Linked DNA regions of Drosophila melanogaster. The protein of the gene in region 1 purifies or fractionates together with the protein of each later gene. This does not show direct contact. Each region holds a gene or a part of one and is shown in the gene's direction. Other genes may lie near its edges. The genes, in order: CG11247 and fabp.

Region 1 (16,402 bases):
ATTTGCATCCATTTCGACAATTTAATATTAACCATTAAAAGCAATTATTTCTCATGCAATTATTATTTCTCGACAATCGGTAGATGTTGAATAATAATATAAATTATTAATAATTCAAAATAACACAGTCAGATGGACTGACACGTATAGATGAGCACACTGCTGATTATCCTCCCTTCTCCACTTACTTTCACATAATACGTTTTGATTAAATACGAAATACTAAATTATTTACGTAAATGATAACTTATTTGTTTGATATTGGAGTCGGGATATTTAATTTATTAATTAGTTTCGCTTATCATATCACTGGTTTCTATTTAGACTTTTTGGACTGAGTTTACTTAAAATGTAAGGAAAACAAGCAGACGAACCATTTTTAAACATATTAGCAGAAATATATTTTTAACAACAAATTGCAATCCAAACAGAACAAATTAAGAGAAGGCAACTAGCGTTACTACCAGCCTAGTTGCTGGGGAGCAGCGCTGTAGGCTGCCAGGTAATACGGCTGCTGGGCACCCACATAGTAAAACTGGGGCGTGGCCAGTGCTGGAGCCTGAGCTACTGGAACCAGCGAAGCCACTGGAGCCACAGCCGCATCCACGGGCAGCTCCTCCAGGCGAGCTGTGCGTTGGCGGAGCAGCTTTGGCTTAGCCAGCTGCAACTTGCCCAATCTATGGCGGCTGCGCAGGCGGGCCGGAGCAGAGGATGGTGTGGTGGCCTCAAGTGAGCTCTCCTCGGTGTCCACCTCCTCGTTCTCTGGGCTAGGCTCGAAGGTGTCCACTGGTGGATCCTGTTCCGAAGGCAAGGCATCTGTATCCACATCCTCGGGAGGTCCGTAGGTCAGCGCGGGCTGTTCGGCGGCGGGTTTAAGCTCAGCAGCCGAGGGGTAGGGGGTGGGAGCCAGCTCCTGCCGGGCGAACGCCACCGGACGCAGGCGCAGAGTCCGCCGAAGTGGTGCCTGTGCCGCACAATTCACCGCGCTGATGGCCGCCAGCAGGAGGAGGAGCGAACTGAAAAACTGGTAACGTGCCATGATCGTGGGACTAGCAGTTGAGCTGTGTTTGCTGTCGTATATGGAGCTTTAACTTTTATACTTCCAAGTGCCGCAGCGGTGGCCCTGCTCATCGGTGGTCACTGGTCAGCGATTCTAGCCCAGCCAACAACGCCGTGAATTTTAAGCAGAGCGCCGCGATTTGAAATCCATCAATGCGTATGCATTGTATGTCAAGCAGGCGCCGCACAGTGGAGTGGAATTTAAAGTGCTAGCAGATCTATAGCCCTAGTTGCCCATGCCCATGTGGACCATTGGCCACATGCTTAGTATATAAAAAGGGAAGTAGGTTAGAAAGAAATTCATTAGCTCAGTTAAAGTAATGACATATTTATAAAATTATAGAATTACGTTAGAAAACATACAAGTCAACGAATGACATTCGTTACTAGTTCGACTTCTTTGGTTGCAACCCATTCCTCATCCGCAGTGGTTCCACGTAAAGTGTCAAAGTTAAGTGCCCGCGGGTTATAATTAACGGCCAATGGTTATGGCTTAGACATGGGCCCTTGACTAAATATTGTCACGTCCGTAGGCCAACGAAAGGGTGTCCCTCGGTGAGCCAAATATACCCGAGTGGCCGAAAACTTCAGTTGGTATAAAAGGCGCGAAACTGGCAGCCACTGACAACATTCTAAGACAACTCAGCAGCAGCTCAACATGGCCCACAAGTTCATCTGCTCCCTGCTCCTGATCGCAGCCATGGCTGCCGTTTCTGTTGCAGAGCCTACCAGATTCCGGGGACGATTTTCCCGCCTGCAGTTTGCCCGTCAGGAGCAGGCTCCAGGGGATCAGGCAGTTCCGGCCGACCCCGCCGTGGATATTGCACCTACGCCGGCCTCAGCCCCTTATCCGCCAGCAGGAGTGACACCGGAGGTGCCCTTCGACCTGCCCACGGAGACTGAAGCGCAACCTGATCTTACCTACGGACCCCCAGATGAGCCCGACAACACCTACGGCCCTCCCGATAACACTTACGGACCACCTGCTGAGCCGGAAAACACCTATGGACCGCCGGCTGATGGCCCAGTGGACCAGGCCCCTGCTGCCGATCCCGTGCCCGCCGGCTTGATCCAGCCTCGTAACGAACGCCTCCTCAGTCGTCGTCCGACCCCAGAGAAGCTTCGATCCGCTCAGATTATCCGCTCTGGATCAGTTCTGGTGTACACCATCTGAAATGGGTCAACCCTAATTTGCTAGAAATCAAATGGAATCGACTCATTAGGATATGCATTTATTACTTTGTCGCTAAATAAATTGTTGTTGAATATTTTAATTTAAATAATAAAATAATTGCGTTAATATTCAAGCCACCCTTTTGTCATAAATTGAAAATTGCAAAATATGTCTGTCTTGTTGTTAGTGAAGCAAAACATATTTAATTTGTTGTTGGAGCTAACAGATATATGAACGCATTTGCTTTTCTATTAAGATCTTATTTTCTTAATCAGGATCAAATCACAAAAGTGATTCGGGAGTCTCAACTACAAGTTACCCTGTGCTCTATTATCTATTAAAAATCTTGTCCAAGCAGTATCAAACAAGAAATCCTATATTCGGCTTCCCTGCTTATCAGATACCAACTACTCAGCTAGTGGAAATGCGAACGCGAACTTGCATACTTTTCCTGGAATATCGATAGATATTGGTGAATAAAATGCGTTGCATAAACTTTTTTGTCAATCAACAGAAATTTACAAGACTAATAAAAATATGCAAAATGTCAAAACAATTTGCAAACGTGTGGGCGTTGCAGTTTTGTGTGGTTCGTGGGCGTTAGAGTGGGCGTTTCTCTAGAAGCTGTGAGCTGTAAGCTGTAAGCTTAATCTCAACCCTCTAGCTTTTATAGTTCCCGAGATCGAGACGTTCATACGGACAGACGGGCATGGCCAGATCGACTCGGCTATTGATCCTGATCATATATGTATATACTTTATATGGTCGGAAAAGTTTCCTGTTACATAATTTTCAACACATCTTACTCTACGAGTAAGGAGTATGAATACTATATTTTTTAACCCGATTTTCACTTACCATGATAAAAACTCAAAGCTCAGAATATAATAATTTTTGGTAAGGCAAATGAGTGTTCCAAAAGCCAAGCTAATAGTAAATAACATTGTTTTTGAATTCGATCGACCCTGATTGAAACTGTCCAAATGTTGCAAATGGGTGGGACGTGCTTTTAAAAGTGCGTGCTTGATGGATTTTTTCACAGCCTATTCTGTTTTGCATGAATACAAAGTTCATCAAATAAAATTATGAACTGCCAAGAACCCAAAACCAAACAAACTCGAGTGTTCACAGCTCACTCCAAGTGTTAATGAATGATTTGCGAAGGAGGGAAAGGGTGGCCTATTCCAAATCATAGCATTGGAAAATCAATTTCGAAAAAGGGTCACGTATCGGGTATTAAGCTGAAGCTACATTGCCGCCGATCAGCGCAACATAATCAAAGTTTTACCGGGAATAAGAGCCTGAAACTGAAAGTGACGAGCATAAATTATAGCAGAATTCGATCTGGTAGCTTGGGGCTATAAATACGTCGTGTCGGATCGAGAAATCAGAACAGAAGCCCTTCAACCGCGAAAATGTTTAAACCGACTGGCGCACCAATTGCTATTCTTGTCCTGAGCCTGTTGGCGCTGAGCTCCGCGGAGCCGATCCGCCGGAGGTTCTTGGCGCGCCAAGTGGAGGCTATACCCAGTCCTTCGCCCACCGGATATCCGGAGGCGGGCATCACCCCGAGTGTTCCCTTCGATTTACCCAGTTCGACTGTCAAGCCGGAGAACACTTATCTGCCGCCTGATAACACCTATGGACCTCCGGACAACACATACGGGCCACCAGATAACACTTATGGACCTCCAGAGACCGACTCCGTGCCGGCTATTGCTCCCGAGGCTGAGCCGCTACCAGAGAATCCCATCGAGACTGATGATATTCCAGAGACTGAGGAAGCATCGGTTGACGGTGCCAAGCTGCAGCCCGCTGATGAGGACGCCGAGGAGGATGAACCGCAGCTGGATGTTGCTGAGGATGGCACTGTGATCGTTGTAGCTAGCAGTCTTGACCAGCCACAGTCCGTCCAGTCCGCCCGACTCTACCAGCGATTTCCGCAAGGACGGCGTTCCCAGAGGCCCGTTCCTCAGCGTCTAATCCTGCGTCGCAGTTGGTAGACTTTAAAACTTTAGCGTAAGCAAATACGTCACTGCGTCAGACTTAAGGAAATATCATACAGGCAAAGACTCTAGAATAATTATTCTAGTGTCTTTGATACAGGGCTGGAATCTATTCTAACGATATCATGCACTCACCGTACACAGAAAATATATTTACAAAATATTACTTACAAAATTCAATTTAAAATGAAATCCATACTGAAACTAATAGGAAAGCGTTATATTTATTATTTTTTTTATTCCTGTGTAAAAATAATATACAATTATTTTGTATAAGCACTCCCTTTTAAAGAAATCTAACCACACATTTTCATAACAGCCAGTACTTACACGCGCCTTAGTCACCACCTCCATGGGCACGTATCGTTGGACCTGGCTTATAAGTCATCGGCCTCGAGGTTTCTTCGGGCGTTTGAATTGGGCAGTTCCCAAGGGCATTCCTAGGGGGTATTTATAGGCGCCACTTAGCCGCCCATGCAGCAGTTCATGTCAGCACACCACAATGTCCGGTTATCCAAGTGCTTCTCTGGTCACCTTTGCGCTTTGTTCCATTCTTTGCCTGAATGGAATTGAAGGCAGTCATCTGAGGTTCCCAGGACCCGCGGCGGGAAGGTTTCTGCAAAGACAGGAACAAGCCCCATATCCACCAGCAGGCCTGGTCCCCGATCCGCCATTCGACCTGCCAACGGAGGAGGCGGTTGAATTTCCTCAACCGGAGGATACATATGGCCCTCCACCTGAAACATACGGACCACCGTCTTTGGTGGAAGCGCCAGCTGAGGTCTACGGCCCACCGGACCAAATTTATGGACCTCCCGATCAGACCTACGGACCTCCAGACCAGCCAGCCAATGATGACAGCTCCAACACATTGCCACAAAGCGCAGCTATAATTAATTTGGCAAGTCTGCCGCTACCACCCCAGGCTCAGTATGTTCTGCCGCTTCTGAACCGACTTTCTGCCTTCCGCCCGCAGCGTCCGGTTCTGCGGACTCCGCAGCGACGGCCGGCTAAGCTTACGGTTCGTCGTCGGCCAGATGCGGTCAAGATTGTGAATGCTATTAGGCCTACTCCAGTGTTCCCATCGACTCCGCAGGCTTTGCCCTTCGTGGATCGCCACATTCCTTTTCGCCCACGGCCATCTCGCCTGATAGTCAATGCGCCTTTCAGACGCCCATCCAGGCAATAGACTACTTCTTTCAGCACTCCAAGCAATGTCATGAATACACTGTAAATAAAGTTTGTTGTCTATGTCTAATTTGCGATCGAAAATAATTAGGTAGAAAATTCAGAAGGCCAGCCGCTTCATCAGCAGGTACATGTGCTGGTCCACCTCGAAGCCATGAAGATTGTTGGCGTCACCCTGAAGTCGCATCAGCAAGCCGCCGAATGACACGTAGGCGGAGAGCCGGGAGGCCTCATTGTGTGCTTCGTCGCCCTCGATCCTGTAGATCTTGCCGTACATCACGTACTCAAAGCTGTCCGCCCGCGTTCCCTCGTGCTCCATTGGATTGTACTCCCCGCTGTCCGGGCAACCATCCTCGCGCAGGGTGGTGGCCAAAACCAGGCGGAACTTGTCGCCCAGCTCCATGGGGTATAGCCACGAGTTGATGTCCAGGATGAGGTCCATCTTAAACGACTCGGACTCGCAGTGCAGGCGGGATACACGGTCGAACTTTTTGCCCTCCGGATCCATGTCCTTTACGTTGAAGATGTCCTCAAAGAGTACTCCAGCCATTTTAACTGAAATGTAGTATTTGATGAGTTATTGCTTTGAAGTCAGTTTAGTGGAGCTCCAAAAACGCACGCCTTACCTTGAGTCGGCTAATTAGATTTTATACGTATTTGATCTTATATGCGGAGGTAAATGCGTGTTCTTTTATGAACTGGGTTTATATCAGCAGAATTTTATTATATTTAAACTGTTAGCGACTAATATTTATTTCTTAAATATTTTGCATGCGCGTGTTAAGTATGAGAGATGCCAGATCTTTCTGGCGGCTTGAGTGTTGCCACACGTCTGCGATTTCAGTGAGCAAAGTGGTCACGTTCAGCAGGCTGTGATTTCAGTGTGTAAAAGAAGTCACGTTCAACAAAGTGTGCCTCACTTTGTTCTTACTGAAATTTCAATAAATATTGCAGTGATACTGCGCAATGTGATTTTTAACTTATTTATAACTTATTGCGCCGCAACCTACACGTTATTGGATTTTCTCTAACTAGTGACTGTGCATCACGCTCCCATCTGTGGCCGCGCAGACAGAGAGTCCCAGTGTGACCGTCTATCGGTGAATACACATCACTAACATTAAGAACAACATCGAAAAACCACCGAAAACTGTTATTTATTTTGCTGGACAAAACGCAGTATTGGCTTAGAATCGGCAAACCCGCAAAGTCCCACAAAGGTTAAGCCGCAGGCAGCACGATGGATACACCTTGAGGAGCCAGTCGGACTGCCACCTAGCGGATTGCAAAAAGTATGTACACACAGCTCGTGGTGTCGAAATTAAAAACAAATAAGAAGCGAACTCATAGTCGGACGCGGAATGCATAGGAAGTCCAGGTGTGTCCCATTCGGGGTGATGCTAAGTTTCCTGTGGATCGAAGGCCCTTAGCCTAGCGACTCCTGCTTTTTGCGAAGGTAAGTCCACGCCCGGTGGGGCTTTGGTGTTGGTGTTGAATGTGGAGCCCCTGGGCCAAATGTGTAGCATATGTGTATAATGGATTGCTTTACGTATATGAGTGCTGTGGTGCTGGTTCATTAATTACTAACAATCGGTTGCAAGACCCCGAAAACTACACAGTCGTCGAGTTTTGTGCCCCGAATACGAAAGACTTCAACGGCCCCTACCCTCATCCAGCGACCGCCGCCGCCTTAACCCTTACCCACCCCCATAACCCCGCCTATTTAGCATTACAAAACTGCTGTTATGTATTCACTTCTTTATTTTCGCTTTTTGTGTGTGATTTTCGCTGTCGTTCGTGCTTTTTGCCCTGTTCTCTTTCAATTTCGATTCCCAGCTGCGGATTCTAGCTTAAATTCGCTTTTTCAACAGTTTGGTCGAGGGCCGTTGTGCTGCTAAAGTGAGTTAGTTTTCAGCTTCTGCGGGTGCGGCTCTAATGAACCATTAACCCTCCGCAGGGGGAGGGGGTTGCTTGGCACTGGAATCGGAATCGGAGGGTTCCCAATCTGCTTGCCAGATGTTCGTCCCAGCCCAGGGTCATCGTAATCGCTCTCTTGCAGTTGCATTTTCAGTGTTCTCGCTTTTCATTGGAAACTCCGCCGCCTCGGAGAACAGACGCCGCGGGATCGAAAACGCTCAGGTTGCACAGCTTTATCTCGATATCTTTTTATAGCTCTACCGTGATTTTAGTGAAAGCGGTGGATTGCTTATCAGTTGTTGCCTTCCTCGGGATCTTATCAGGCGGTTTCTCCATCTCGCTCCCGCCCAAACAAAAGATTAAGACAACAAACTAAGAATTTTTTTTGGAAGCTTACGTTCGCTGGAAATGTCAATTGATAATGCGACCCACTTCAAGACTTGGGCTCCTAGCTCTGTACACCGTGAAAAACAGTCCACAACCTTCCGTTGTTAACTAGATTTGTAAAGAAACGAATATATTTTCTAATTGGATAGCCAATGAATTGCAATTAATTAATTAATTATGATAAACAACGTCTAAAAATCTCAAGTGATTTCGACAACACTGCAAAAATAGTAAGAACTATTGCATTAACGTAAAAAGTGCCATGCTTTTCGAAGCCCCTAAATATGCAAATCCACCAATTTTGGTAATATTTTTCCTGTGCATAGGTCTTATCACTGTTGACACAGCTGGAGTTTCTGTTCCGTTGCTGTTTCTCTTCTTGTTTCTGTTTCGGCTTCACTTGCGGTTACTATTTCTGTCTGTGTTTTTGATTCTCCGTCTGCTTCGGAACGTGGCGCTCGGCGAGTGGAGAATTAAAACAGCTCTTAACTTTTTTTGCAGCCCATCTGAACTAATCCAAACCAAAGGTGAATGGGAACTATCCTAGAAGTAGCAATCGAACCAAAAAATACGAATACCCTAAATTACATACGTAGAACATTAACCCTAGAAGTAAAGACAAACGCAGCAGGTGCCGGTGTTTCCCAGGAAGCGGTCCCCAGAAATTTAGTTACGAATCCAAATAATAAAAACCAAACAAATGGTACGCAGCCGTCGTAGTGTGTCCAAGGAGGATGCCGTCTCTCTGCTCACAGACAGCGGCATATCGCTGTCTTCGCCGCCGGCGGCGAGGGAATCCTCACCAGGCCCTACGCTTGCGATCAAAAGGAGGAAGAGCAGCTTGGCAAGTCTGCGCGATGCTTGTGTGGACGAGGAGGAGGACGACGGCGGAGAGCAGGACTCAAAGGATGATGATTACGTGCAACCGCAGCTTAAGAAGTCTGCCCGAAAGGGCGAACCGGTGAAACGCAAGCACCATGTCTGCAGTCAATGCTCCAAAGAGTTCGGTGGCAAGACGGATCTGCAGCGCCACATGCTTATCCACTCGGACGAACGACCGCACAAGTGCAAGGATTGTGGCAAGAGCTACCGCCAGGCGGTCAACCTGAAAAATCATATCACCACCGCCCACGAGCATCGGAAACAGTTCGTTTGTTCCCAGTGCCCAAAATCATTCGCCCTCAAGGAGCGCCTGCGGCTCCACATGCGCCTCCACTCTGGCGAGAAGCCCTATCCTTGCGACCTCTGCGACAAAAAATTCGCCCGAGGAGGTCAAGTGAGTAATACGACATTCCATTTTTAACTGAGATTTAACAATTAATTTTATATTTTTCTCATAATTTGATTTATTATAAACTTAAATAATAATATTTATTATAATAATTAAATATAAATAAGTGTATTTAATAATGAACTTTCTATTAGGCTTTTGTTTTTATAGGTCTTAACCATTGGTGTTCCTAATATATATTATCATTTATATTGCAGCTGCAACAGCACATGGTTTCTCACCACAAGACGAGTATCCAGCAGTTCAACTGCACTAAGTGCTCGGCCAGCTTCTCAACCAACGCCAATTTACGGGTGCACATGGAGCGACACGAGCAGGGCATGGAGCACCGGTGCAGCATCTGTGAGAACCAATTCGCCAACGAGCTGGCCCTGCGAGCGCACATAAACCAGGAGCACCACAAGCTGACGCAATTTGAGTGCGAGATATGCCATAAGATGATCGAGCCGGACGAGGATTTGGCCACTCACATGCAGAGGCACACCGCTGTTAAGACCCACGTCTGCGAGGTGTGCAACACATATTTCACCCAGAAAAGCCAGTACAATGTCCATATGCGAATGCACACGGGAGAGCGCCCCTATCAGTGTAGGGTAAGTTGAAAGGGTGTTAGCTTGCATGCAGCCGTAAATTATGTTTCTACTTCCATCAGATCTGCCACCAGACCTTTGCCCATTCAAGCGTACTAAAACTGCACATCCGAAAGCATACGGGGGAAAAACCCTTTCGCTGCCAGCTGTGCGAAGACGAAGTAGCCTTTTCTCAGCTGGCGCACCTAAAGAACCACATGAAGAAGATACACAAACAGCAAAAGCCCTACATGTGCGAAGGCTGCCACGATTTCTTTAAGATCAAGGTGGAGCTGCAGTCGCATGTTGAGCACTGCGCCAAGTGTCCAGTTGACGGGGACAAACCCAGTGGCAATCAGTCTGAAGATGCGCAAATTCTCTCTGTCTTAAGATTTAACATGGCAGTGGTACTGAAGAAAATTAGCTCCGCTCAAAAGCTGCGCCAGTTGGGCTACGAGAAGCGTCTAATCGATAACGTTATCATTGCATCCTTGAAGCTGGCTCAGCGACAATCCCATGACGACGCCACGATGACCCCATTGGCCAGACTCCGGCTAAATGTGGAGGAATTTCTTAAGTGGATTGTGCCAGCCCCCACTATGCAGAAATTCAGCGACGAATTGTTGTCTATAGACACGATTCTTGAGAAAATTGCTACCATGTATATGAAACAGAAGTAGAATCCAGGAGTTGATAGCCAACGCCAAATGCGAGTGTGCCATAGAAGAAGGATTTGTAGAACTAGTTCTTGCCATTTAGTTTAGTGTTTAGTAACCCAAAGTTGCAGAACGAAACCCAACCAAATAATTTATCCCAAAGATATATACTTTGTAGTACAGGTCATTTTAATGAATTACTACCCTTAATCCCAATTTTGCTGCTACCAAAAAGTATAATTTGAAGAATGTATGAGTTAGTGTTGTCATAATAATTTCCCTATTAAAGGAAATTAGTTTAAGAACGAATTTCGATGCAATAATTTATAAAATAATAGGCATAACACGATTGAAACCTGAAATATTTTTGTATGCTTAGTCTTGCCAGAGCAACAGATTGTCCCGGAGTGAATCTATAACAGCTCAAGTACAATACAACTCATTGTGGCCATGCTTGTAAAATTAATAAGCTTAATGCATTTAGTTGCCATTTGTCTTTTCCAACAAAAGTGCAAAATCTGAAGTGTACAACTGAAATGCAAATCAAAATACGCAAGTGAAAAAATGAAATGAATAATAAATATTATTTGTGACTACAACCCAACACTGGATATTAGTTTTTCGGACTTTTTAATCATGAAACAATTTGCAGCAAGTATTATTTTCGCTTATTTTTAAGATTTCGTAAGTCTGCGAGCTTACGTAAGAGTTAGAGAAAGTTTATGAGAACGAATGATAAAAAGAACACATTCCCTTAACTAAGAGTGAGCACGTCCACTATCCCACAAAGCTGCTCCCACACTTTTGAATATATTAATATTAATTTAATAATTTTGGTTTTTATTATTATTATTGAAAGTTTCTATGTTTATTCCAAAAGGATTTTGGCCGTCTACAACAAATGGCAAAGGCCTTACATATTATTTCAGTCAACTTTCGATCTTGCTGTAGCTGGTGTCTGGAAGTTGAGGATCTCGACTAGCATCTTAGGAAGCGACACGGCTTGAATCAATCAATTTTCTGCATCTCCTGGCTTGCGTGCCTTTGACCTTTGAGGCTCATCTATGGAATTTCAAGTCCGGCTGGAAGCTGCATTCCATATTTGAATGCGGCCAAAAGAGCAACGAGTCGCACAGAAACACCCAGGCACACCCAACCGGGCTGGCATCTAACCACATAAACAGTTAGGTACAAGTGCCCCATGGGTCCCTGCCCGTTGGCCATAAATGGTCTGGGCTTGTGCACAAATTTATAAGCCACTTACATTAAGGTGGCCAATATTTTTTATGGCAAGCCCCGCACTGCATGCGAACCGAGCTCTCTGAGCAGCGGTGGCATCTGCAGGCGCTGTGGCACCTGCCCGCGCCACTTCCTCCGGTCCGCCACCTTCCACCCACCCGGAGCAATTAATGAAATTTGCACGGCGAATTTATTGACGCGACCGTTAGTGTCAACCCAAAGGATTTGCTTGGCCACGAGATGTATGTACAATTTTATGTGTCAAATATAGTTATGATTTTATGATACCCCGCTTGGGTAGCAGGCTGGGATTTTCCTCCGGCCATACCATTGCGTGTCTGTCACCTGAAGCTGCTGATGTAATCTCCGCCGGTATGCCATCCCATCTCACCCCATGCCGTTCCCGCTCCCGATCTCGATTTCTTGTCCCGGGAAGCAGCTTAATGTCTACATTTGTTCTGGCCGTTGCGTGTTCAGTGGTTGCCCTTTTTGCAATCTCAGCTAACTCGGTTACTCCTGCTCCCACCAACCAGCAACCACCGCCCACCGCCCACTGCCACTTCTATGTCCTCCTGCTTCTCCACGACCGTGGCAACTGCAAGTCAGGCACTCCAGCTCCTTCAGCTTCTTCCACAGATTTAGTCTCGCCATTTCCAGCAGCTGCCGCTGCCATGGCGCATTAGAACAAATTGCTCTTGTTGCGATAGGAAGGATGGACATGCCTTTTGCCATGTTTGGGCCGACGGACGGAATGCCTCTGCTGGTTAGAGAGCAGTCACACTCGATCCATCGGCTATATGTGAAAACTTGTTCAGTTGTATACAGGAGGACAATATCATTGCTGTTAGTCGTTACAATTTACTTGCAATATTATGGGAAATAATATAATATTTTCAACTCAACTTCAATTTTCAATTACTTACAATTAGCAAAAAGTTTAACTGGTATCGTTCCCAAGTAAATTAATAAATTCTTTACAACCTTCGTTTCATCATGGTTTTTGGCATAGAATATTCCTAAGAAGAGTATATGAAATTCAATAAACTTCGTTTAGATTTGCTTGTTTATTTTCCAAGTAAAATGCGCCACGAATTCGTGAAACAAATAGTCACAGACGTAAGTACGCATGTCTCGCCTGTTGGCCAGGGCTCGTTGGTGGCTCAGCCTCATCAGCATACCTAGATTTGACCGGGACAATGTTAATGATGAGAGCACGGAGGAGCAGCCCGTTTCGTGAGCCTCCGAGGAGCAGTTCCATTTCCGTTTTCCCTTCGGGACCTGTGGACTGTGTAGCAAATTGATTTGGCTTTAGTCCATGCTTGGTCGCTATCATTTGCGTTAGCTTGTTTGGCATTATGTAATGCATATATAATTCTTTTGTTGTCTGCGTCTTATTAGAGAATTTACTCTGGCATTGGGGTAATGTCATACCACTTTTCTTAGTCTCGGAAAAGTTCAAGTGGAATTGTTCACTGACATCAAATTTGAGGCGGAGTTGGGAAACTGGCCAGCTAAATTGCAGTAGCCCACGTCATCGGCAAGGGGCTAAAGAGAAGACATTCATAATTGCCTGGGAATGCCCAAGTGAAACCAATTTCACAGAGCATTTGAATTCAACTAGACTCATTTTGCATTCGGCGGCTAAGTCGAGTTTTCAAGAATTTATAAGTTTTGTAAATATCGTAAAACTACTTTTATGGCTGTGTACTTATTTTCATGAAGAGCGATACGTACATCTTTATTTTTTAACCATTTAAATTATTGTTACATTACTATTTTGAATTTGCGAACTATGATCTAAACCATTTATATTTTATTCTACACGTAAAATGATTTGGATTTAATACATATTGCTTTTGGAAATATATGCTGGTAACCTGTAATTGGTCAGCTTTGAGGAGAGATTTTTGGATCTCAGCCAAGGGGAGCCAAGTCATTGAGGTCATTCAACTTCTGCTGGCCAGGGCGTTTAAGGAGGCAAGTCAAAGTCAAGTCAAAAGTCATAAAAGTATGCAGACCTGGGCAGTCGGATTGCCTTAGCAAAAGTACAAGTCTACAGATGGTTTGTATAGCCAAAGCTCTGGTCTTGGGCACGGGATTGAGATTGGGCTTGGACTTTGCTTTAAGAATGGCTTTGTGCATGCGTATGAGTATGGGTATATGGGTTTATGGGTACGGCATGGGGAAGTGTGTTGCAGTGGTAATCCTTGGCCATGTCTGCGCTGCCCTTATTGCAACAGCAACAGAAACAGCCAAACAGCATCAAAACAACAATTACAAATGGACGACTTCTTTGTTCTGTCAGCAAGGCCTGCTGCAGTCCAACAGCCCAGAATCAGCATCAGCCACAGCACCAGCACCAGTAAAAAATCCAGTTGGGTCTCGGGCCCAAGGTTTGGGCCCAGTTAAGGCCAAAAGAGCTCCAGCCAGAGTTTTGCGGTAGCAACCCAAAAGAGGGGGCGTCGTCAGAGTCTTCTCCATCTCCATCTATGCTGCAGCTGCTACGCATAAACCATACGATCGGCACTGCGAGAAATAAACCTGAAATACGTAGTAGTATATTAATTATATTTAATAGAGTTAAGATCTGTATGACATGTTAAGCCAGAACCTGCAACAAATTTATCAGATCACTTTCGCGTTGATCACACAGACTGGAAAATATTTAAATAAAATCAGTGATAATATAATATCACTGCAGATTCTGTTCGCTTGGGTAATTTTTCTGGCCAAAACAAATATGAAGAGCTGCGTTCAGCGGCCGCGTCTCTGTTTTTGTCTAGGACACGGAGGAGTCAGAAATGTGCAACGTTATCATAACTAAGTTCATGTGGATGCGTGTGCTTGTGATTTTCCCGAAACGAAACGAAACCAAAAGAACGAAACCGTCTGCATATGCATAATTCATGCTATTGAACCTTCTGCGGTTATGACTGGACATGGACATGGGGCCCTGGAGGTGGGGCAGTGGTAGTGGCAAGGGGGGGGGGGTGTGATGGGCAAGGGGACTTCAGCCAGGCAACTAGAAAAATTATAATTTCACAAGTCATAATAGGATTTGCAATTCAAATGCGAGAAGGCAACGCAGACACTAAAAGCGGACTCAAGTCCTCTGGGTTTCTTTAAGATTGTTCCTGTTGTTGTTGTTGTTTTCATTTTTGTTGTTGCCATTTCCTTTTTGTGAAAATGTCTGGGGAAGGAGCAAACAACAATAAGAGGCTTCTCGGCCAGGGACCAGACTTATGGGCCGGCCAATATGTCAAAAATATTAAGAGACATGGACAATGGGCCCGGGAATAGGATCGAGAATCAGCAACAGAATCATTTTGGGGCTTGTGGTATGGGGATTGGCCAGACTATCGGAAGAGGATCATGCATAAATATGCAAACGATAAGAGCTCTCCTCTATAAAGTTGTAAAATTGACAAGCGTTGCAATGCCAGACTCTCAAATAAAGCAATAAAATGCACTAAAACATCGCCGGCCACGGATCGCAACTCCGGGCCGATCGGTAGCCATGGACCAAATGCAAAAATTAGAAATGAAAGCCAGCGGGTCGCAGCAACAGATCCTACTGCTCCTTCACCACCAGCACCTCCTCGCCTGCTTGCCCAGAATTTATGCCATTCTGGCTGGGACTTCGCGGGGCAATGGGAAAGATCCGATGGAAAGATGAGCACGGAAGCATCATCGTTTGTCACTGGCGCATGCAAAGGCTCAATTCATGATTCTACATCGACATCGCGAAGGAAGTCCGCCTCGAGTGACAGCAGGCAGCGCATAAAGATAACAAATAGTATTGCTGTGGGTTGCATCGTAATCATGTCAAGCTGCCCATACCCATACCGGTGGCCCCAGAAGGGAAGGCCACAACTTACGACTCACTTAGGGCTTCCTACTTTATGCCAGATCGAGCGTCCCAGGAAATTCAAAGAGATGAAGTTGATATAAATAAGGACAACGAATTTTTGGAATTTGGTTTTGGACTTTCAGTTCTTCTTGAAGCCTTTTAAAATTTCAGTTCGTCTCGAAGAAAATAACAAAAGACTTAGGCAAAGAACTTGACAGTTTTTCCAGCTAAGTACGCAAACGAAGCGGGCAGATCTAATTAGGGATTAGTCGCTGGCCGGCCTTGCTCAGCCGTGCCATCATAAATATTTAATGATATTGTCAGCTCCGCGCTATGAGACCCTACATATGGCTCTGATCTTGACTTCAGACCAGGCTCTTTCCCCGGCTTTGGCTTCAATTTAAATCAAACGTCGCAACGTTGCTGTCGTCGCCACGAGGCTCGTTTTTGGCATGGGCTTGAGTTTGGTTCGGCTGGCCATGGCCTTTTATTTTTAGCATATATAGTAACCATATGATCGACACTCGAACTCGCCTGAGTGTGTGCTAGTTCTATTTTTAGTAATGCCTTTAAGTGGCGACCGCATTCGGCCTGGCCGTGGCCTGAACTCTCTAGAAAAATGTGTCCCGCTGTGAATTATGTGCCTACATAAATTACCCGGCCAGGAATTAATCATGTTTTATGCAGGACTGCGGCAAAACCTGGCTAAAGCCACGGCAACGCAGGCATGGCCTGTTTTATTTTTTGTTCTGTTGCTTGCCCATTAGGTTCAGTTCTCTGGCCCGGCCTGGTGTGGATCTGGGTTTGAGTGCCTCCAGGGGCACTTGGAGTCGGTCCGAATTTTTGTCTCTGTCCCAGAGATTGGAGTTGAAATAACGCGAGATGCTGTATTGGCGCCTTCTCTAGTTTTCCGGATGGCCACGGTAATTGGAAGAAGCAGTCAAATGTATCTGTATCCCACATAAGATTAAATTTGGGTTTTTTTCCTGAGAGGCTAAGGCTTTAATGTCAAATTGTTCATATTTTTGTTATACTTGCAAAAAATGCTTGCAATGCAAGGACGTTC
Region 2 (17,391 bases), on another chromosome or scaffold:
ACTCGACTTGCCAGCGCCCACGGGTCCGATGACGGCTACCAACTTTCGACGACCCAGCTGCAGGTTGATGTCCTCCAGAGTGGGCTCCAGCGAATGGCTCTCCCAGCGAGCCTGAAATTGGCTGAACTCGATCAAATTCTCTGGGATTCCATTGCCTTTAGGACTGTCTCCATTTGGGGATTCTGCTTTCTGGTTGGCATTTTTGACCTTTGACTTATCCCTGACTTTTGTCTCCGGACGATGCATGAACGCCTCCAATCGCCTAACGGAAACCAATAGCTCGGCAAACTCGGAGATGCCCTGCGGGAAAAACATTGTCACCGATCGGCGTAGGATATTGTAGTAGGCAGTGACGAAGAAAGCCTTCTCGGCATTGAGAATGTTTCCCAACAGGACGAAGGCAATCAGACTGGAGGAGGTAAATATGCGGGACAGGAACATCGCAAACGAGATGAGGATGCCGCGGATGTAGTTCACTTGCTTGATGCACAGCATCTCATTGAAGCGGGTCATCTCCACCACCTTGCCGAATGGCTTCTCCCAGGCGTACATCTTGATGACCTGGATGCCTGAGATAATCTCGTTCATCATGCGGACACGTTCGTCCGTTCGCAAAGCGGTACGCAGGCGTAGAACGCTGGTCCGCTTGCCGAGGTAGGATTGGAATGGCAGGAACAGAAGCATTATAGCAACGCCAAACATGGATGATATGCCAATCTAAAATATCAGAAAAATATATTGCTAAATGTGCTGTATTCAGTTTCAGCGGGGTATAACTTCATTTCGATATTAATAATGGATGTACTTGACTTCCTTAATTGGCCGCACACGATAAGCAATTAATAGGAATACCACAATATTTGTATTCATGACAAAAACATTTTTCGATAGTTACATATATATATTTAGGAAACGTACTATCAATTGGTGCCATAACAGGAAAAGATTGATCGAAGATATATTAGAAAAATATTTAATTAACATTGAAAATAAGTGTCCATTCATAAATATTATTATGATAAAGTATAACAAAATATAAAAAACTTTCCACCAAATTTTCGGTGACATTGAAAGCTTGCCGTGCTCAAAAAAAACTTAAAAGAGCCGATTCGGAACAGGTTTAAGCATTTGAGCTTTCGACTAGAAAATTTCTATTTGATTTTCTGACCACCTACGTACCTCGAGATACATCAGGTAGGTAACTGCAATCAGTTCCAACGGAGCTATCCACAGGTAGTGAACGTTGATCAGTACCAAGTCAAATCGACCCACATCGTTGGACAGCAGATTGACCACCTGACCCACTGTGGTGTCACCCAAAGCGGTTCTACTCAGCCGCAGGGCCTTGCGATAGATTAGACTGCTAAGTGCTGCAATTTGGAGAGGATTAACATCTGGATTAGCTGAGATAATCAGCACTTACCAATGCGCATCTTCATGCCCAGATGAAGTAGACCCAGCATATAGGGATGACCGATACACACACTAAACACGGAACCAGCTATAAGACCCGCTGCCCATAACTGGGCCTTGGAGCGATCCGGATCATTCCCGGCAAAGTATGCCATCACTCCAATCAGGCAAATGGGCTGGGTGACTCTGTAGTTGGATAAGTGGATTGGTAAGTATTATTTCAGATTCTATGGTTCAGAACCCACTTACTTGGTCAAAAACTCCTGGGCAAGCAGGAATACTCCCGTAATGAACAAATGAAAGCCAAACACTTTCGTCAGGGCGCGACCCAAACGTGGAGTTTCATTTTTCGCCACCTGCTCATCCCAGGCTGCGCACAACCGATCTCCCAGGGAATCTATATATTAAAGATGATACCCATTAATATAGCTGCGAATGGAAATTAATCAAAGAACTCACCCGATTTGTGCTCTTTGAGGGCTCTATATAGATCCTTTTGTTCCAGCGTCTTCTTGCGGCCTTTAAACAGAACGGGTAGGGCAAAACTTCACGTTGGATCGGCAACAGCATTACGTAGGTAGTTTTTATTGGGTGTACAATAAAAACATAATTAGCGAAAGACTGTCTGTTATCAGGCAATGATACTGATAAAGTAAAAAACGAACGAACAGACAATTGACAACAACTGACAACAGTTGCTATCCAATGCAGCGTTGTAAAGCGAGTATGTCACGGTCAAAATTGTTAGAAGCGAATGATGTTTTTTCCTCAAAGCTCAAATTTCACAGACTACAGAAATAATAATTAAACTTCTATGCAACTGCGCAAAACCCATACAAAGTTCAATTTTAATAACTACCGTACTTATCTCAGTAAAACCGAATGTTTTATTAATAAAAGAGTACATGTATGTACATTTTCACAGCATCCATATTTGCTGACGCAAATGAATCTATATCTTACGATACGCGGACACAAAAGAACAGTTCAGAGTTCCTTATCTTATATGTTATTAAATAATTACATTACATAAACAAAAAATAAAAGCTCTATACGTTAGCCGAAGATAAACAAATTCTGTTATGTCAAAAAGGAATCTTATCAGAAGCTGTACATCAAAATTAGTTTGTTGCGTTTTAAGTTTATGTGTTCTATCGCAATGATTCATAACATTTGTCAGCAGTTTTTCCCCTTTGGATATCTAGTTCTGTACCTAGCGCTGTTAGATTTCCTCTGGAATAATTTTGAAAATGGATCTTAGCTAAGTGTCGCCCTCAATTGGTAACCAATTGAATGGGAATCCGAGCTCCCGTGAAATGCAAAATGATTTTGTCGCCTCGGTCACGCGAATTAAGCGAACCATTGAATGAAATAATCAACTTGTCAGTGTTGTCACGTTATATGCTCCCCAAATCCCCCCCCCCCACACACACACACACAACAAAGCACATGAATAAATAACACCTAAACTAGTCATCAATGGGTGCTTTTTTCTTATCATCGCGCCGAAAAAAAATGTTCGATTTTAGTTTACTAACAATGCCATGATCTTTGAATATGTGTATTAATAGACTTGTAAACTGGTTTCTATTAGAGCTATTAAGTTTATAACCCACATACATATACATATATATATTCTATTCTTTTTGCAATGAGATGGTTGGACAAACCATTTAATTAAAAAGAAATAAAAATTTAGTCTCGAAATGCCCAGAAAGATATAATTTCTACGCTCACCAGAACATAAGTGACGAGAGGGGACTGGATCGCTCCCGTGGATTCTCCGGCAGTTCATCGGCTTTCATCGACTGCATGCTGATTGCACTGATTGGAGCTAAATTGCACTATATAGAGTGTAGCATTACAAGTACAGGGGACTTGCTCGGTCACCGGGATTGCCTTTGGACGACGGCGGTTGATTAGCACTTTTCGATACGAAAGGGGACACGCGCTCTATTTTAATATAATTAGTTTGGCATTAGCCGAGGAGAAACCAGATGGAAATGCGAGCGATTTCAGATTCCGATCTACGAATTCGATTTCTATTCACGTTTGCGGGAAGTAAACTTTTCCACTGGCACAATGCAGACTTCAATATTGCGTGGCATTCGGATTGGAAGAAGTGCTGCTGCGAGATCACGGTTCCAAAAAAGATCACTTCACGCGGAGATATTCGGTATTTCTATCTGTTGCAGGCGTATTTCGTCATAGATTGCCTTGTATTTCGTATGTGATTTAGTTCATAGCACATCTTACTTATCGCGAACGTATCGAAGTACACATGGCACTGCGCGCTACTCTACCCACGACTATCTGCTCGCTCCGAAGGTCCGACTCGTTCTGACCCGATCCGCTCTCGGGCTCCACCTTAAATACATGTCACTCTCTGGGTAGGTGTTGTGCCAGGTTAAGATCAGCGCTCTTTGTGGGTGCTCTCCAATGCTCTTGGTGGGCTCTCCATTACACTAGACTCTTTGCCACTCTCTTTATATCGCTCTTTCATAGCACTATTCTCGATCTCTTTTGTTTGTGGGTTATTTGTTTAGTCTTTAGTGAGACTAGTGATAAGCAGGTTAACTTATATTTTCCTCGTTTTGCGCGACACTTTGCAGTAGTAACCAACGTGTAACAATGATACGACACTTTTATGGTGCTGGCAAACATTATTCTAACATGTCCGATAAAGCTGTTGACTCTTTGGACTTTGTAGTTATAAAGTTAGGATCAGATAATAGATGTTGTATCTAAAGTTTTACAAACGCAACAGCTGTTGCACGGTCTCATTATTTGTCCATTCCATTACAAATCCAAATTTTATTATTAACTACTTTACCGCACTAGTTGAGCGCAGCTGTTAGTTGAGGTTTTTTGAAAAGTTGATATTACGATTTTGTGCTGCATACTTTCGGGCTTTAAAGTTTCCGAATGACTAAATGCATGTTTCTTCAACGCAGTCCAGGAATGGCTGCATGCAGTCGAAAAATGGACTGCCAAATGGAATGTGGCCATTAACTCCTCGAAGTCAGCCTGTGTAACTTTTACCCTGCGGCCCGGAACTTGCACAGATCTGACTTTTGATGGAAACAATGTCACATCGCACTGCTACCTAGGAGTTCATCTAAATCGGGGACTGACCTGGAGGGCCCACATCTCGTCGGTCAAATTCAAGTCACTGGCGAAACTAAAAAAGCTCGACTGGCTCTTCCACTCCAGTAAATAATACACATTAAGAAGTATATATATAAAGATATACTGAGAGTATATCATATTTTGTATTGATCAAGACGTTACTTATTATTGGTATACATAAATAATATATGTAGTACATATTATGTACATAAGTATGTTTCGTGGCAAACCCCCGTAATCTCTTTTATTTATGACGATCAATGCAATAATAAGGATGATCGGTGAGGGGGGTGCGGGATCATGGACTAATTGAATTAATAAGATAACGCTTAGCAACAAACAAGTCGGTATCCATGTAGGTGGGCCCTCCCACGGGATGGGCAGGCTTATGGAGATCGTGGGTAATCTCAATATTGCATTGCCTGACCATGGGTGGAAGGAAGTCCTCGATTAGATTACAATTCACCGGCGACTTATCAAGAGTTATTCATAACAATAATATAAACGAATTGTGTCGAAAATTATTTATACACATTGGTAAAATGTAGAAGCTCGGGAGATTCTTTTAATGGTGCCACTGACCCACAGAAAAAAGTCTACTAATTCGGAATATATGGGGGGCGAACAGTCGAGACTCAGAAACCTGGATAACGGATATCCTTTTAAATAAAATATACGTGTGTATGTATGTTAAAATTTTAAATCTTGATATTATATTAATAATAATTTTGTACTACAAAGTGAGATAGTCTGGGTTTCAAATAAATTCCCCTTCCTTACTTGCACACATTGGGTTTCCCAATGCGTAATCTGAAATTCGGAGAAAAGTTTAAAGTTCGCGCCAAAATAGGCAAGTTTTGACTGTATAATGCGAGATACATTGCAGTTCCATTGTCAGCATGACAATGTGGCGTTCGTTATTAGGCCGGTGCTTTTGAACCAATTAAGGCTGCAGCCAATTGATCGCGCCAAGGTGAAGGTGCTTGGGTGCTGGGAGGAGCAGGAGGAGCTGGTCAGACGTTGGGTGGCAGTAACACGTCCGATCCATTACCAATATGCGGTGTGAGGGGGAGTGGTGGCCCCCATAGAACCGTTAATATTTTTTTTGGAGAGCGCCTAAAAAAGCTGCTTTTTGTAAGAGCGCCAACGGCTTGGCGCCGACATTTCGATACCTTGGCGGCTGTACTTGGCTTTGCATCTGGTAATCCGATGCTCAGCCGATGCCACATCATTAAATTTTTAATTTGTGAGACAAACAAAAAGGAAACGTGCAAAAGCCGTGCCGCAGAACGAGAGCGAATCAAATGAGAGCGAGAGGCCATTAACTTGCATCTGGCAATGCCGTAGCCGCAACGCGAAAGTATATAACAGCCGGCACGCCGCAGAGCTTTTCATTCGCTCAGAAAATTTCAACAGTGAACATCTTGTGCAGAACACAGACCAAATATTCCAAAAATGTCTTTCGTTGGCAAGAAGTACAAGCTGGACAAGTCCGAGAACTTCGATGAGTACATGAAGGAGCTGGGTAAGTTGCCAAAACTAATTCGCAGTGCATCAAAAATAGAAAACCAAAGTGCTCGAGAGAGCGAGAGCGGGAGTGGAGGGAGAGAAAAGAAGCCGAAAACACGCCACCGAAAATCGACCGGCCGGCATTTTTCGCACTAGTGTGCAAAAAGTTTCATTGGCCAAACGAGAGGGAAAAAAGTAAATGTCTTCCGGAAAATGTTATATCAACTGAAGATTATGAATGAATTCGACTGTTAAAATAGTTTAGCTACATGCATAAATTGACACCTCATTGAATCTGCTGATGTGCGTATGTGTGTGTCAGATAAAATCAATAGAGAATAGGACCAGAGAAAGAGATGCACATCTGCAGCAATAAAAACGTGCTCCAGTTATTCACCTCACCCTCTTTCTCAACTTTACAGTTGCGAATCGGAGGACAAGCAGTATAAAATCCGTAAATGGTTATCTGCGGTAGTCATAAACCCAAAAACTAATTAAGTGTGGGGCCTGAACTTTGCTCCCCTTTTTTGAGTCACCTCCGTCAGCTTTCCATGGGACCGAAATCATCATAGTGCCATTAGCTTTTGCGACAGGTTTTATCTATTTGTGTACTAGATTTTGGGAGAAAGTCTCGCAGTGAACTTTGCACTAGACTACAAGCTTTATAGCTGCGATGATCTTTGCCCGGCTGTCAATTTAGACAACAATGAAACACCAGATATAAACTACATATAGGACACATTCGACTCTCTTACCGATCAAAGTGCAATTTCTATTGCAATCGTGATTATACTATATGGTGCCACTAAAACTGATCAATACCATCGCTTCCTGTCTAGACGCGCCATAGGGACTAGTGGCATTTGGTAACCAGAGACGGGCGTCCAGATTTATTTACCAGACCACCAGTTCGTCAGAACTTTTCGCCTACACACTTTGCGGCTTCGGTTTAATGGTAGACTTGGTCCGAAAGCCACGTACTTCTCAATTTTCAAGCCCAAACAAATCTAAAATCAACCTGCCGTTGGGGCCTCGCAGCACTTATCAGTTGTCGTACATATATAAATGCGATAAACTATATGCCTATTTATGTACACACATTTGTAGTATATACAATGTCGCAAAAGGCACGATAATTAGGCGCGATTACGGATTTTGCACTTTGGGCAGCCACCCCTATCATAGACCACGGTTCGCAATTGCAGGCCAGTCTAATCTATTCAAGGTTCTCCTGTCATATACGATGCATATAAATCGATCTCTGGTACAGTTGCTGGGTTCCCATGAGTGGGAACCTGGCGACTTATCGCGCCACGCCAGTTGACACTTGACTTGAGGGCACTGGACAAAAGAACAAGTTGGTGGTGGTCCATACATAATTGAACATAATTGATTGGACCACTTGTTGGTTTGATGTCTGACAATGTACTAGATTGGAAATAATACATGTGCCCTATTTGCTGGCACATTCGTAAGGTACCAGTGATTCACACTTTGTTTTTGATTCAACGTTTCATTTGGCGAAACTTCTTTCAAATAAAAATATAAATGCAAAATTACTCATACAGCTACGTGCATGCATATAGTATTTCAGTAATTACAAGTCCCATAAAATTAAGTGACAAATTTTAGTACTTAAACACGATTGATTGTTCACAATCGTTAAGTTATCATTTAATGATGGAATTGCTTTGCTTATCTTTCGATGGTAATTATCAGCACTTCAAAGGTTTACGATTTGGAACGTCAGCAAAATGGATCTTGACCACTTAAGCCAGTAAAATATATATTTACACTGCTTGAATGGCATTTATATTCACAGTTCTGCCCTCAAACAACATATGTATATATGGAATGCTGCACCGAGATAAGGTGGTGCTTTGCCAGATCTATATTTAAATGCATGGAGGGGCTTGCCAATTGATAAGAGCGGAGATGAGGATGAGGGAGGAGACGACGGCCCGCATTGTTCGTTAACCTTGAGCACGACTTTTGACGTTACAGCGGAACGGAATCTGCAGGGAACTTCATGGCTCGGCTTTATTATTTTTAATTAAATATGATATGATTTGCATTGTGAGCGCTTTGGGGTCCCCAACTTTGTTGGGCTAATTCAATTATGTGCAGTCTGCCCCATCATTCATCTTTCGGTGCGATCTTTGATTTCCTTACATTCTCGTGAGATGGAACTTCATTAATTTCTTTTCCCTTTCCACTTGCAGGCGTCGGTCTGGTGACGCGCAAGATGGGCAACAGCCTGAGCCCCACAGTGGAGGTGACCTTGGAGGGCGATACCTACACCCTGACTACCACCTCCACCTTCAAGACCTCTGCCATCAGCTTCAAGCTGGGCGTTGAGTTCGACGAGGAGACCCTGGACGGTCGCAACGTCAAGAGCATCATCACCCTGGATGGCAACAAGCTGACGCAGGAGCAGAAGGGCGACAAGCCCACCACCATCGTCCGCGAGTTCACCGACAACGAGCTGATCACCGTAAGCGCTTACTATACCTTGCCGTATATCATCACACCCACCTAACTGATCCAATGCCTCCCCCACAGACCCTCACCATCGGCAACGTTAAGTGCGTGCGCGTCTACAAGGCCGTCTAAGAGACTGATCTAAAACTATAATATCCATACGACTACATGCATTAAAACTAACTCAGATAGCCAATATTCTTGTTGACTAACAGTGAACTAAACCAAATCAAATGGAACTGCACGCTCTGCCCAATGTTAATTTATAATCGCACCCGTACACCCGCAGTCGGTGTATGTGGGAATACTCCTCGTACTCGGGGACCAATTTCCGAATGCATTTGAATAAACTATTACTTGAAGTGCTTTTAAAACATTCCGACTTTCTTTTACACTTCGCTTTTAAGCTTGTTGTTGCTTAGGTTAATGACGAAATGTAAGCTTAGACACAGCAATCAAAATTATATTAGTTTTAGTTATAAATTTATATTTTGGCATTTTTCCAACTATTTCCCAAATTTACGGTTTTGTGAGTAAGCAAGTAACGTGTTTTCATCGAAATAATTTTAGTTCCTACCTAAAAAAGAATTTTTAAGTGGCTTGTTTGTGAGGCGAACAATGCCAGATATTTTAGTTTGGCTTGAAAGTTATCGTTAAGGATCCCGAAATTCGTAGGGTGTCATATTTTCAATGGCTAAAGGGATCGAGAATACCAAATTCAATTACATTTTCAATTGGAGGTCATATTTTTGAATCGATATGAATTATAAAGTTTCAAATTTCAAACTGTTAAAAGAAATTCCACCTTTGGGGTTATAGAAAGCATGTTTCTTACTATCGTTTCTTATTGTATCGTTTATTGAAGTTGTATGTATAAAGAGAAGAGGCACAAGTCTGAATGGTCTCTGATTTGCTTTTGGGCTGCGGATGTTCTGCCCACGCGTTTCCGTTTCCGTTGCGATGCATTTGCTCTTGCTAATTGAGTATAAAACACAATGCTGCTGGGGCTTTTGCACTGTTCGTGTGAATGGGGTCTGTTGCAAGTGCGTGCCACAAGTGTGGGTGGGTGGCATCTGCTGCATTTGGGGGCTGGCGCAAGCGCACACGTTATCAGCGGACAGTTGGCAGCACGGCCACACTTTCGCCGGGTTTTTTTTGTTAACATTCGTCGTTTGCCGGCGGCGTTAGAACTACGTGTATCCGCATGACGCCGAGTTGCGTCAGTCGGTAAATAGTAGACACTTAATTGTTGGTCAATTGGGCGTTATAAATTAAAAAGCAAAAGCGCCGTTATCGATTTTATTAGTGTAGCACTAAATGCTCTGATAACCTGGATAAAACTACCGCGTGGGTGTGCGTAGGCTACGCGCATTGTGTGTGTGTGAACTCATTGTGTAATCGCTAAAGAAAAAATGTTGGTCTACTTTGCGGCGTACCTAACATTCAAAATTTAAAGTCAAATGTTCTTCTTGTTGTTCTTCAGCGGAGCTTTTCCAGTCCGCCCCAAAAGCTCTGTCCACTTTGTTGTTGCTGGACAAACGGGTTTCCGATTAGAGAGAGAAAGAGAGATCTTCACTGCGGTGTCAGCAAAAAAACGTTACTTTGGCGCTACTCTTCGCACTCTCTGCACAGAAAAAAGTTCTCCATAAAGTAATCGAAACGCACTTATATAGCTATCAAAATACCTTTATCAATGTGGAATCAATCTTTAGAAACTTAATATTCCATTATTAGGATCGAACTGATGTATGTGTATGTTACTCGTTTAGGATCGTTTACTAGATAGATCCACGTATCATTTCTTTTATTTTCAATTTCTGATTGATTTTCAAAATAGAAATATTTTACTGTGTACATTACTGAGCGCGGGGAGAGTGGATACCGCTGAAGTGCTGTTGTTTACAAAACGCCGACCATTGGAATTACAGTGCGCCCCTGATGCAGTGAACTATAGAGAATAGCGTGCTCAGTCTATCGATTCAATTTATTTTACAAAAAGTTTGATATTTAGAAGAATCTACCATTTTAAATCTATTGGGATAGAGTTGTTCGGACTGCTGACTGTTGGATCTGAAAATCCAAAGTCCGTTAGTTCCGGGATGCACTGTATCGCTTTCGCTCGTCGATTGGAAAATGGAATTTTTTCGTAGCCCCGATCAGTTGAGATTCAACCGCTGTCCCCATCGCCACTTCACTTCACCGCTGCCTGGGCTTTCCAAAATTATAATTATTTCGGTTTTTTGAATTCTAATGTGAGTAGTAGAGAACAATACCCGATAGCAAAGCTGCATGAGCAAAAATTAAGCGCGACTTTTGCCAGACAGCAGTGCGCTTTGAGTGTGTGGGTGTGGGCTTAATCAACCGCTTTTGAAGTCTGTGTGTGTGTGTGGAAGTCGGTAGAAACTTTCCAGTGCCGACTTATCAGTGGGTATTGTTTATGTTTATCCAGATTTCCAGACCGATACGGAAATTGGCTTAAACAGCGGCATAAAATGAATAATTATGAACTTGCAACTGTGTGCGATTATAATTTATGGTCATGCAAAAGTTATGTAATCGCACTGAAACAATATTAATTTGTCAAGTGCAAAGAGCGAAACAACCAACGAGCCTGCTGATATTGATATAGTACCGCTCCCACTCAAACCGTCCCAGACTATATCACCCGATCTTAAGTAATCACTATTGAGATTTTCGAACATTTGGTTTTTCGCTCTGTTTGTGTTAGTTTGTCGACTCTTCGTTCACAGTTTTCGAACCTTGTCCCCAAGGTGAAATGAATATGTTTTGGGGGAAAAGAGAGTCAACGATACAATGGGAAGTTACCTATGATAATGGCATTGATTACTAACTTTAAATTGGAGCCCGCTGGAGCCATTCCAGCCAAGTGGAATTCTTTTCCTCATAGAAATTGCATAACTAGTAGAGCAGAACTGCAATTAAACAAACATTTAATACGATAATTAAGGTCGATATTCGCATAGATACGCGGTTCACGATTGTACGTCACAGATATAGTTAAATTGTTTAAATAGATGATAAGGAATACTTCAGATATCATTATCTATGAAGAACAAATGCCATATTTTCATACAAGTTTTGGGGAATATTTTGAAATCCGCGCACCCACGCAGAACGAGTCTATTTTGATCCATTTACAACAATAGGATATAAATAACATTCAATCGGACAGAAATCAGCTGGAATTCACTCAGTACAATAAATGAATTCTACTATTTTCTTTCAGCTAATTCCCCACCTAACACCCAGTCAGCATGGATCGCTCCGCCTTCGCGTCCCTTGTCAGCCCGTACCGCCGACGTCCGTGGATGACGGAGCACGGAGCGGCGGCTGCGGACAGCGGCCAGGTGGGCCTTAAGGGCATCGTCGCCGGCGGTATTACGGGCGGCATCGAGATCTGCATCACCTATCCCACCGAGTATGTGAAGACACAACTGCAGCTGGACGAGAAGGGAGCGGCGAAGAAGTACAACGGCATCTTTGATTGCGTTAAGAAGACGGTGGGAGAACGTGGATTCCTGGGTCTCTACCGAGGTCTCAGTGTGCTCGTCTACGGCAGCATTCCTAAGTCAGCGGCGAGGTAAGTTATATAACTTTTGGTTATAGTTCATGTTTTGCTGATTAAAAGATAACTTTCAGATTCGGTGCTTTTGAATTCCTGAAATCGAACGCCGTGGACTCCCGAGGACAACTGAGCAACTCCGGAAAGTTGCTTTGCGGCTTAGGAGCTGGCGTATGTGAGGCCATCGTGGCAGTGACCCCGATGGAGACCATCAAGGTGAAGTTCATCAACGATCAGCGCAGCGGCAATCCCAAGTTCAGGGGATTCGCCCACGGCGTTGGCCAAATCATCAAGTCGGAGGGCATCTCTGGTATCTACAAGGGCCTAACGCCCACCATTCTGAAACAGGGCTCCAACCAGGCCATTCGCTTCTTCGTACTGGAGTCCCTTAAGGATTTGTACAAGGGTGACGATCACACGAAGCCAGTGCCCAAGTTGGTGGTTGGAGTGTTTGGAGCTATCGCCGGAGCAGCCTCTGTGTTCGGTAATACGCCGCTGGATGTGGTCAAGACGAGGATGCAGGGTCTGGAAGCATCGAAATACAAGAACACTGCCCACTGTGCGGTGGAGATCTTGAAGAACGAAGGTCCCGCCGCCTTCTACAAGGGCACCGTGCCAAGATTAGGTCGTGTGTGCCTGGATGTGGCCATCACCTTTATGATCTACGACTCCTTCATGGATCTGTTCAACAAGGTGTGGGTGTAACTCGGCGATTCGGCTTGGCGACTTAGTTACTTAGTTCATCCTTCTACCCCAAAAAACCCACTCGTGCATTTTCCTCTGTTCCCATTGTTCCCTAGTCGACTGTTGCAATAGTTTCTAGTTTTGTGACATATTCCAAGAAAGCATTTTATATACACTCTATACCCGCAATGGGTAAGTGGCTATAGAAATTATACAGCTTGTTTTAAAAATTGAATTAAATCTGAAGAGTCTATTTGAAGTTCCCATATAAATCATAGCTAGACTGGATGAAATAGGTAAGGCTTTTTGGATTATTTAGTTCGCATGAAAACGTGAATATTTTAATTGGTACTATATAATAGTAAACAGTTTTCTAAGTAAATCTCTAGAATAGATTAGGCTACGCAAACGAGTAAACTTCAGATTAGATCTTTCACCAAGAAAGGGGAATGGGTTAAGAGGTTAAGATTACTTCTAGGCGTTTTATGACAGATTGGCAGAGACTTATCTACGTAATTCACTATTTAGCACCAAGGAGGGAAACATTTGCCTTACAGTCGGACATCTGGCAGACATCTGCTATCTTTAATTGCAACTAACAACGGATAGATTGCTTGCACCATAAATAAGGACAGATTACTCTAGTCTAAGGCATTTTAGCGCACCACATTCAGCGGAATGGATGCGTTCTTGCTGCTGACGATACGTCCCAGCATCTCGTCAAGTGGCGCACCCAGTTCCTGCCAAATGCACTTGCCGATCAGCGAGATTTCCTCCAGTGGCGGTCGGAAAGCCACCAGCAGATTAAGGCATATTCCATCAGTGTTCTCCTGCTCCGAAGCTGAGTGCTCCACGCTAAGTAAGCCATGTGGTCGATGCTGTGGCAGCTCCGCACCAAAAATCTCAATCATGAACTTGCGCAGCGTAGAGTGCAGGCTGCGATTCGGATGCAGTTCGACCGTGGGAAAGTGGTGGGCGTTCTTTTCACTGACCAGGATGTTCAGCGAGTTGTGTGCTCGCTTTCTGGCTACAGCCAGAACCCGCAGATAGTTACGTTTGTGGGCGAAACGTGTGGGCAGTATGGTCCCATGCCAGGGTGAAGGGCTAATGGCAATCTTTTGCCCCTGATGATACGCCCTTCCAATCTCAATGATACTGAGTATGTCGTTGGCTCGGAGAGGTACTTCCTTGGGATTACGCACCCATCTCGCCTGAATCGATTCGGCGTCTGCATCCGCAGGAGTTTTAAGTCGGCCGCCTGTGATGCGTCCAGTGAGCACGAAGCGGAACCAAGAGCCACCGGCGGCCTCCACCGCTAATAGAGTGGTCAGCTCGGCATTTAGACCAGTCTCTTCGAAAACTTCCCGGGCGGCTGCCTCCGTGATGGATTCGCCCCTTTCCATGCGACCAGCGGGTAAGTACCACTTGCCTGGTCAATAGAGTGCAACGTGTTAGATGGTTCTTGAATTGTGGTTTTGGACATTCGGAATTTCCTACTCACCGGCACAGCTCTGTTTGGCCTCCTCGATCATCAGAAGCTCGTCGTGCTCATTGATCAACACACAGGCCACAATATAGGTGACTGTCTGTCCAAGAATGGGCACAAAATCGGATGCGGATGAGGGCTGTACTCCCTGGGCCTCGGCGGTGGCATTCTGTTCCTTAAGAGAAAAGTCACACAGTTCCGTTGTGATGTCGCCCAGATCTTTTGAGTCCAAAATGCGACGCACTTTCTCCACAATCGAAGCCATCCTGTTTTGCTAAATGATCCACTTAAGACGTTAGAAATTCAAAGCACAACTGGTATCTTCTGAAACTCACTTTAAGCGCTAAATTTCAAGGCGGCTGACTCAGTTCGCTGAACATGCTACGCCCAGTCGGAATCTCTGCATATATCTCTGAGGTTCTATATATGCAAATTACGAATTCTTTGGAGTGCTCTGTGCTCTGCAAACGCAAACAGTTTAAGCAATCGTGGCGAACTCGAGAACGGGCGGTATGTGACTGACTGCGGCTATAATGCCCAATAAAATGGCCAAGACGATGGCAATCAACTTTTTGTTGTTGTTTTTGCAGCTCGTCGCTTGTTGTCGCTACACAGGTGGCTGGCTGGTGGTGCTGTGGCCTCTATTTCTTGCTATTTCTCTCTATTTCTCTGTATTGATATCGAAATGGATGTCAAATAAGCCGCTCGACGGGTTTTCTTCAGGAGAAAGTGCATCGGAATGTGTCTCCGTCTCCGTCTGCGCCAGCTGTTCGCTATTCTTCTCGTCGCGGTACTTAACAGCTCCGTTTATCGATGGGTCATTAGGTGGTGCACACTCATTTATTGCAATGCCATTTATGGCCTAATTGATTTGCAAGTGCGGCCAAGAACAAGTAATTTTGTTAGTAAATAGAGGGCAGAGTGGCCACTTTGTTCTTGGCGCAGCATCTGGCAACGCTGCGGGTTTGTTTACTTCGATAAGGCCCCCTTTACACTAGTTTCGAATTATCGCAGTTGGGAATATATTTCGACTATATCTTTTTATGGCCTAATATGCAAAGCCTGAATAAATAATTGATTTTAAGGAATCATACCTAATCTGCTTCGTATTTATTATTACACATCAATTGCACATAGCACAGTACTTTAGTATAAAATACTAATGCATTTTCCCATCTGGTATTTAACGCCCAGCCTGGTCCCACTGCGAAAATTTAAAACCCCAACGACCGTTATAGAAAATTAATTAATCACAAAATCGCTAAACTTGTTTGCTCAGCCTGTTATTGTACACTCACGATACGATAATGTACATGTTATATGCTAATTTCAACGACGACATGCATCATTCAACTGCGCTGCGAATTTAGCCGACAAACAGCAAACAGGCGTTGCGCCATAGATTAATATTAAAGCGCATCGTTTATAAATATCCTCATCCGGCATATGGACATTTGTGTGTGCGTTTGTGAGCAGGAAGCCTCGCTGATTGCCAGCAATAAAATTTGAATGCGGAAATTTCATTGTTTACCCAAATCGATCATCATTAAAAGCATTGCTGTTGCCATTCCCGGTTTGCCCCATTGCAAAAGTGCCAATTGCCCCGAATCCATGGCGTATACTTAACGTGGGCGGTTTCAGCCACTGGATGGATGTATGAAGAATGGGGGGTGGTTTGAAATTGGGCGGGGAAACTCGTCCCGGGGAAGGTGGATGCGGTGGCTCGACTTGTCGTAATGGGTCTGCAAACTCGGATGCCTGGGTAGGTAATTCAATTTTGTGCAAATGCTTGATTTGCCATTTAGCTGCGAGACCTAATACTGCTTCTTCAGTTTTGCCTACACACAGCAAAAATATTCCCACGCAAATGTTATGCATTGTTAATGCCATGCCTTTGGGAGCAGCACTAGTTGAAGGTGTTTAAATTAATGAATAGATAGTTAAATAATTCGTGCGAGCGAGCAAATTGCAAAGGCCAGGAGTTTCAAGTTGTCTTTAGGCCTTTAAAGTTTTGTATTCTTATGCGGTGAATTTAGTTGTATAGCATTAATATAAGCATTTGGATTTGCTTATAACTCAAGTTTTTCCCGCCGTGCTTTTCCATTTCAGCGTTCACTTCGTCTTAGGCCTACTTCATCTGCTCCAAATCTTGGCATCGTCGGCTTCTCTTCGGCCACAGTTCACATAAGACTTTTGTCATTATATTGTTAATTTGTTTTAGTTGTTTTTTAATTTCCTTGGAGAGTCGCAACCTCGTTGAGACTAACAACATGCGTGCGGAGGACTCGCATGTAGTGGTGTTCTTGTTAGGATTGTGGAATGATAGGTGGGTGGCTGGGTGGCTTGGGTGCGAATGAGGATGCGGATGTGGATTTGGATTTGTGTGGGTGTGCTAATGTACTGTGAGTGGATCTCTGGTAATAACGGCTAAAGTAAAATGCTGATAAAGTGGCGAATGTTTCGGAATGTGCGAGTGTGTTTGTGCGAGCGAGGATTCTGCTGCGTGGCTGCGATGACAGGCAAAAGCGAACACAAAACGTTCATTTCCCACATGCACCATTATTCGTTGAAACCCGTAAATTTCACCGAAAACGAACAGCAGCAGTAGTCGCAGCAGCATCAAACAGCAGCAGCAGCAGCAGAAGCAGCATCAGCACAAGCAGAAACAGCAGCAACGTGGCAGCACCAATCCAAGGAGCTGCTTAACACGAGAATAATGTTTAAAATGTTTATTATGTGTGCAAGTGACGCGAGCTCCTTTCCCCCCCCCCCTTTCCATGCTCCTTGGTATCTTTCCCCCTTTTGGATGACAGGCCCAACCGACAGGCCAATACGCACACATAACTTTACACAGACAGAAAAAATGGGTGCAGGGTTAGAAGTTTGACATTTCAAAATGAGCAACGTGCACATTCAAGTACAATCCAACCTTAAGATCATAATTAATACTGCAAAGAAACTTGTCACACTATATATAGTCAATAATAAATTAACTTTAAATATACAAAACAAATATTTCGTTAATTTCCTTATAATTAGGGATAAGTATTAAAGTACAGTTAAGCCATTAGTATAGTGAATTATGTGGACTTTCAGCAACATCTTT

The links.
Region 2: the proteins of CG11247 (region 1) and fabp purify together in Drosophila melanogaster (affinity purification with mass spectrometry, with the first as the bait; one large-scale study listed by BioGRID). This does not show direct contact.

The regions. Positions count from the first base shown.
Region 1 is NT_037436.4:21,718,768-21,735,169, reverse strand, and holds CG11247 (uncharacterized protein), read left to right. Parts: upstream 1-6,363; 5' UTR 6,364-6,719; exon of another isoform or gene 6,720-6,777; 5' UTR 6,778-6,883; intron 6,884-8,232; 5' UTR 8,233-8,431; coding exon 8,432-9,007; intron 9,008-9,219; coding exon 9,220-9,615; intron 9,616-9,674; coding exon 9,675-10,271; 3' UTR 10,272-10,844; downstream 10,845-16,402. Other genes in the region: CG14573 (uncharacterized protein), read right to left, coding at 461-1,039; CG14568 (uncharacterized protein), read left to right, coding at 1,718-2,233; CG14569 (uncharacterized protein), read left to right, coding at 3,649-4,236; CG14570 (uncharacterized protein), read left to right, coding at 4,742-5,428; Polr2H (RNA polymerase II, I and III subunit H), read right to left, coding at 5,528-5,977.
Region 2 is NT_033777.3:11,555,594-11,572,984, reverse strand, and holds fabp (fatty acid binding protein), read left to right. Parts: upstream 1-5,930; 5' UTR 5,931-5,997; coding exon 5,998-6,067; intron 6,068-7,873; exon of another isoform or gene 7,874-8,170; coding exon of another isoform or gene 8,171-8,201; intron 8,202-8,273; coding exon 8,274-8,545; intron 8,546-8,613; coding exon of another isoform or gene 8,614-8,664; exon of another isoform or gene 8,665-8,927; intron 8,928-9,692; exon of another isoform or gene 9,693-9,885; intron 9,886-10,688; exon of another isoform or gene 10,689-10,784; intron 10,785-11,779; coding exon 11,780-11,911; coding exon of another isoform or gene 11,912-12,133; intron 12,134-12,192; coding exon of another isoform or gene 12,193-12,820; 3' UTR 12,821-13,089; downstream 13,090-17,391. Other genes in the region: Mrp4 (multidrug resistance protein 4), read right to left, coding at 1-717, 1,180-1,370, 1,424-1,599, 1,663-1,810, 1,873-1,958, 3,151-3,227; sea (scheggia), read left to right, coding at 11,808-12,133, 12,193-12,820; CG10898 (uncharacterized protein), read right to left, coding at 13,456-14,228, 14,301-14,550.